2 linked regions of the Coturnix japonica genome follow. The protein of the gene in region 1 purifies or fractionates together with the protein of each later gene. This does not show direct contact. Links are inferred from orthologs where the notes say so. Each region holds a gene or a part of one and is shown in the gene's direction. Other genes may lie near its edges.

Region 1 (2,907 bases):
TTACTAATTTCTTCTGCAGCCATTAATTGAATGGCGGATGTACTACCTGTAAAACAAGTTGTCTGCTTTAAAGATTAAAAAATGACCTGTTATATTTAGTGTCTGGTTTAAAGTGTGATGATGAACTTTCTGTTAGAAGACAAGATTTCCTCAAACAAAATGAGCTTTCTCCTTTTGTATGCATATCATTTTTTCTGTTAAGCACAGAGAATAAATCCCATGTAACTAATTGTTGCATGAGGGCAACTTGTTTTTGCATACGTAGCACTGAATGGATGCTGAAGAAGGTTTTCTATTACAAGTCAAACTCATACTTTACTGGATTGTTTAGCTTAAACTGGTAAACATATCCATGGACTGGAATAATGGAGCTAATAAGGATCACAGACTATGGTGACTTGTATGAATTGCATAAGCTTATTTAACATAAACCTATGCATGACTTCCTTTATCATGCATCCCTTCTATTGCTGCATTTGGAATTCAGAAGCTATTTCCTTAGCACAGAACTAAAGCATCTTTTAGAAGCAGAGTGAATTGCTAAGTTCAAGAGCTGTAATTAGTAGAAAGACTTAGACTTGTTTCCATGCTTTTATGGAAGTTGATAATTGTACTTAGTATTCTGAGCAAATGCTGTCATTTTGGTACGGTTAAGTAGCTGATTTGTGAAATGGAGTTAGACTTTTCCACCTACAAGTACATAAAATCTAACTAAACATGTTTCTGGGTCAGAATGAAGAGGCTTTGAAAAAATGTGCTGAAGAGTATCTAGCTAGAATTAAGAAAGAAGAGCAGAGATACCAGGCACTAAAGGCACATGCTGAAGAAAAGCTGCAACAGTAAGTACTATGAGAAAAAGCTAATTGCTGTAAAATGTGGCCCGTTAATGCCAAATCTTGGCTTAAAATATTTTTCTTATTACTGTTCAAGTACAATGAACTAGTGTGATTCTATGAACTGTTCTGCTATGCTGTCTGAATATAAATGCCCGTATTTCTTCAATTCCAGAGCAAATGAGGAAATTGCCCAGGTACGAAACAAAGCTAAATCAGAAACTGCAGCCCTACAAGCCAGTCTCCGCAAAGAACAGATGAGGATCCAGTCTTTAGAGAGGAGCCTTGAACAAAAGGTTTGTCAAAATGCCATGAGTCTCTTTAAGCTATTGCCTTAGACTACCTCGAGATCTTGTAGCAGTACCACTGTGTGTGCTGGTTTTGGAGACTGCTCTCTAGGTGGGCTTTGGGAAATAAGCATTGAAGCTTAAGGCAGAAGTCAAGTATGTCAAGACTCACCTTGTATATACAGATCTTTTTTTGGAACAGAAAGGCTTGTTCCTTTAGACGAGTCACAGAATTGATCAGTCCAGGTTGCTGCATCTGAACTACTAATGGAGATGGTGTTCTAAAACTTAAGCATCTCCAAGAGTAGAAGCTGTGAACAATCTTGAATAACTGTCTGAATTAGCACATCTAATAAGCATTTACTCTGTAAGCCATTAGTACTAGTACAAACTCTTTCAATGTTGTTCAGGCTCTAAATCCTTGGTTTGGATTGCAGTCTTCATACTGCATAGATGAAGTTTTAAGATGCTTCTTAAAGGCACATTGGTTTCATTTACTGGAACAAATAAGTGGAAATGTTCTACAGAGATGTCTGTGTTGTGAGATCTAAATTGTTGCTATCATTTCAAATGTCAGTATACCTAACAAAATGAATGTGTCTAAAAATCATGTACCTATGATCTTTATAGACAAATTCTTCTAAGGAAATCCAGAAGCAGAAAGTACAGTGAATTTAGCTCACTTCTTGGGAATTTTTACAAAGTAGACTGTCCTTTGGGTTAAACCTATATAGTTTGCTAGCATGTAAGTGAACTTTCTGTTGTATGCTAGGAAAGGTCACTACTTGCCTTTAACTTAGCTTACACATACCTGCAACTCTTCTTTTTCTATCTTTAACAGACAAAAGAAAATGATGAACTAACGAAGATTTGTGATGACTTGATTCTGAAGATGGGAAAAGATGACTAACTCAGTTGTCTCTGTAAATATGTCTAGTTTCTTTGATTTCCTGTCCTGTGTTCATTCTTGTTTTTAATTATGTATGTGGAGAAAAAAAAATAAAATACTTAATTTGCACTTCTTGTGTATCTCTTGCAGGAAATGTCAACTTACTGACAGGTTCACTTGCTGCTTTTGGTGTCAGCATCTTGTGTAGCATTTTGATGTATGCCACTCAAAGGAAAAGCTTTTAGTTGTATCCTCAGTCTCTTCTCTGTGTGAGAGCACACAGCTCCTGTGTTATGATCTGGCTCTATTGATAAGGGTCATCATGGGCCGTGTCTGTATCTTGCACTTTGTTCTAATTTCAGTCAAAACATTCCAAAGATACAGGACTGTAACAGAACTTGACCTGCCAGCAGATGCTAGAAAGAACTGAAAGTTTATGCAGAAATTCTGTCCTGTCAGTTGTGACTTATATTCCCTCATTCTAAAAGGACATTGCTTATGGTTGAGAAGCTTCAGCAGACTTTCTCGATGTTTGCAGCAAACCAGGCCGATTACTAATCCTGACAGTGAGTAGTAAGCAGAATGTATAGAACTACTTTGTACTTTGTGCACTTGCAACCTGAACTTTGGGATGGGATTGTTCATTTAGTGCTGTAAAAACTTACAACTTCAGCTTTTATTTTGTGTTGTATTTGTCTGTGTACATGTCTGTACATACTCATAACTGAGCTGAAGTGAGCCTGTTTTTAGACAAGCTAAGCAGCCAAGGGACTGGATAACAATACAGACTTGCTTTCCACTCTATTACTATGATATCAAAGTCCTCAGTCTGATGCTATTAACTTGCTAATCACCCATCCAGAGCTCATACTTGCCTCGTGGAACAACTTGTAGAATT
Region 2 (3,827 bases), on another chromosome or scaffold:
AAGAAAGCACTGAAAAAGAGCGTTTGACTTTGGTGGTCTGTCCTACTAATTAAGTCTTCTGATCACTGTACCATTACCTAATCATTCTCTGATACTACCTTACTATAATTGAAATGTATCAGCTCATTGTCTCAATTTTTAATAGAATCTAAATGTTTGGTTTTTGTTTTTTTTTTTGTCTGCTGCATGATTGTGAATCTGAGGTGAAGTTATTTTTTGACGGGAACTCTGCAGGCCACGTGGCTCTGTTTCCAAATCAGTATCTAGGCGCTGTCACTTATGGTTTATCATGCCTATGGTGAACCCAGATTCAGACTTAGGAAAACTGTTGTAGGTTCAAACTTCTCTGTAATGTGGAAAACCACTAGTTTTTACTTTGTGAACAATGCTGAGTATTTCTGGATCTGAACATTGGTAAGATTGTTGCCAAAATAGTCTAAATAGGGAAATCTAATATGTTTTTGAATTGCACTCTGCTCAGATGAGGGAACGCCATCCTACCTGTGCTGTGCTTTTTAATACGACTTTTGAAGCTCCTGAGATTAGATATTTTATTCACAGGAGTAGGAGAGTCTTTGCGGCTAATGTTTCTCTCTGGACCAGATACGGACCAGATGTGGTCCTTTAGGTCTAAGTGGTAGATTTTAAGATGTGTATACTGTACTTCTTTTCCCAGTATAGTTCATATGTTATAATTTTACTCTACCTGTATTTAAATTATTTCTGTCTGGAAAAAAAGGTGGCCTACTGAAAGGTTGTTCTCCTGTTATGAGCTTAGATTGTGAGACTAGAATAAATGTCATTTTAGAGTTGAGAGTGTATTTCTTCATCTGATCTTGAATCTGTTGCTGCTGTAAGAAGCGTGATTTCTTTATTCTCTCTTCTCCACTATTCTGGTGTCGAGCATTTACTCTGTTTGCTGGAGAGCTGTGGGGGAAGTGTGGTGGAAATTGTGTTTTGTCAAAACCGTTGTCATTGAAAGCTAGCAAAGCAGCTGGATGTGTTTCTGTGTTTTCTTGTGTCTGGAGATGAGATACTGGGAAATCTCTTGATTCTTGTCTTTTTTTTTAGTAGGGCTGTGTGGGGAGTTGTGTTCTCCACTTTGATATTTTATGGACAAATATTTCATGACTATCCTTCTGTGATTCATTTAAAAAACTAAATAAATGCATGTCTCCTCAGCGTTCTCCGTCCTCCAACTGGGTGCACCACATTCTTTGCAAGCCAGGCATCTCATGTGTTTTCTGTAATGCTGGGTCTGCTGGAGTGCAGTGTTCAGAGAATTTGGCATACTGATAAGAAATCATTCCTTTCTATTTTTATGTCCTGTCTGCATCTGGACATTTCCTGCAAAGACAACTTGTGTTGTCCCATCCACACCCCTCCAATAAATCCTGTTTCCAGTACATTCTGCTTTCCTTAGTTTCATTTCTGTTATGATGCCATTCATGGTATTCTCCCTTTAACTTTAGGCTGTGCCTTAGCTTTCAGATGACTGCTGTAATCAGGATTAGCTGTGGACGTCAGTAAAGTCCCCTGATGTTGAAACTGCAGTTTTCAGTAATCAACAGAACCTTTCCTTAGGGAGGAAATGTAAATTCCAGGTGCTAACTGATGTAAAATACATCAAAATGGAAAAGCATTTTGTTTATGAGAAGATAAACTTCTGTGCGCTGAACCTCATCTATGTGTGCCTGCATGCATTTGTATTTGTTTCCTCATATATGTTAACAGGAGCCGGGGCATTCCAGTCTTCTTGTAGAAGTAGTTGCCCTTTGGAAAATGCAAGTTGTATGAAGCTAGTACAGCTCCAGATTCTTTGTTCTTCACTGTTGGTCCAAAATGTTGTATATTGCTTTAGCATTTGATTAGAAAGTTCTTAAGTGGTGAAGAGGACAAAAGAAAATATGTAAAGAAAACTGCTAAGAAAAGGTGCAAAGAAAGGAAATGCTTTTTTTTATTAGTAGTTGTACTGTACTTGTCTATACTGCACGTGCTCAGAAGATTGCCTGTTAGCAAATTGTCGAATGATAGCAGTTTTGAATTAATGGAAAGTGAGTAAGATGCAAGGAGCGCTACCTTAACTTTCTCAGTGAAAAGAATTTTAATGTTCTGATCCGAAATACTTGTATTTTAACAGTGAACAGAGTATCTGCCAAGCACGAGCTGCTGTAATGGTCTATGATGATGCCAATAAGAAATGGGTACCAGCTGGTGGATCAACTGGATTCAGCAGAGTTCACATATATCATCACACAGGCAACAACACATTCAGAGTTGTGGGCAGGAAGATTCAAGATCATCAGGTAAGTGAATCTCTGAAAAATTTGAATAAGAACTTCAAGCTAATTTTTTTGCTTCTTGTTAACACTAAGAAATACATCTTCAGAAATTTGGGAGCTACAAATAGTAAATTTACTTTCATTTTTAACTTGAATGATGAAACTTTATTATAACTTTTCCCCATAAAACTAAACTCTTTGTATATCTTTAAAGTGATTCTCCTTGTGCAGTCTTTAGCATTCCGTCCTACAGGAAATGCAGGGAGGAAGAATAGTAGTGTAGATATAGGTTATGTGGTTCTCTTTAAGCCAAAGTTTAAATCTAAGGACTTCTATTCTTGCTTCTTGCTTCTTCTTGCTCATTTCCTCAGGTCAGTTTATTCCAAAAAACATCTACTACCCTGAGGACTGGAGAAGGGAGCAGTAATGATTAAACTGTGATTCCTTGCTGAGGAATTTAATAGATCTTGATTAAATAACAGTCTGGCACTCTGTCTTAAAATTTGCTCTGCTTGGAGTTATCTTTTTGTTTGAGGAAAATTTCTATCTATCACTCCTTTCCCAGCATTTCATGAAATGATTCTCTTCTGTTGATCTTCTGTCATGTACGTGAGGTGTAGTCTGAAAATACCTTGTCTGATTTCTCACTAAGAACTTGTTGAAATAAATAATACCTGTGTATTCATCTAAGGACAGGTTTTTTTGGTGTTTTTTTTTTTTTGTTAGCAGAAAATACTGAGAAGATATTGTTATCCAAGTGCAATGAGATCTTAGTGGATGGCTGATAATAAATGGTTGCTGTACTGGTAGAATTTATCACCTTTTGTGTGAGCTGTAACAGTCTTGCAGGATGATACCTTATGATGTGTAGTAGAAGTCCATGTAAGCTGCTGCTGAAAGCACTGCAAGCTAAGGGATGCAGCATCCACAGGAGGAAGGTGATAATTTCATGAAAAATATACATGTATTCTAACAAGTACTCTGAGATTAATAGAAAACCAAGGCAGTTTCTGAAATCCAGATGCATTTTCACAACTACTTTGCTACTAAAAGTCAGAACTCTTTATATTGCTCCGTAAAATCTAAATGAAACTTGCAATGAAGCAGCAATTTTATTTATTTCGTTTGTTAACTGTTATAGGTGGTAATAAACTGTGCCATTCCAAAAGGGCTCAAGTACAATCAGGCTACACAGACCTTTCATCAGTGGCGTGATGCTAGACAAGTGTATGGTCTGAATTTTGGCAGCAAAGAAGATGCCAACGTCTTCGCAAGTGCCATGATGCATGCCTTAGAAGTATTAAATTCACAGGAAGCTGGTAAGTCTTTTAACTTCTTTTTTTTTTAAGTAGAGATCAAATAGGGATGGAAACATTTGAATGTTTATGCAGAAAAGTCAGTAGGTCTTGTTTCTAGTCATGATTAAGCCTCTAGTGCATTTACTTCTTTGGGTGTTTTGTGCTGCTGATTAACAGCGATTCTTAATCTGATGCCATCCATGTGGATGCAGCTTGTAAAAACAAAATCTATTTTCATGGTATCTCT

The links.
Region 2: the proteins of TACC3 (region 1) and ENAH purify together in Homo sapiens (co-immunoprecipitation; 3 studies listed by BioGRID and IntAct, with this or other methods). This does not show direct contact. The link is inferred for Coturnix japonica from reciprocal best matches to the Homo sapiens genes TACC3 and ENAH.

The regions. Positions count from the first base shown.
Region 1 is NC_029519.1:76,055,947-76,058,853, reverse strand, and holds the end of TACC3 (transforming acidic coiled-coil-containing protein 3), read left to right. Parts: intron 1-732; coding exon 733-839; intron 840-1,008; coding exon 1,009-1,129; intron 1,130-1,961; coding exon 1,962-2,030; 3' UTR 2,031-2,138; downstream 2,139-2,907. UniProt on the Homo sapiens protein: Plays a role in the microtubule-dependent coupling of the nucleus and the centrosome. Involved in the processes that regulate centrosome-mediated interkinetic nuclear migration (INM) of neural progenitors.
Region 2 is NC_029518.1:15,085,672-15,089,498, forward strand, and holds part of ENAH (protein enabled homolog), read left to right. Parts: intron 1-2,140; coding exon 2,141-2,306; intron 2,307-3,423; coding exon 3,424-3,601; intron 3,602-3,827. UniProt on the Homo sapiens protein: Ena/VASP proteins are actin-associated proteins involved in a range of processes dependent on cytoskeleton remodeling and cell polarity such as axon guidance and lamellipodial and filopodial dynamics in migrating cells.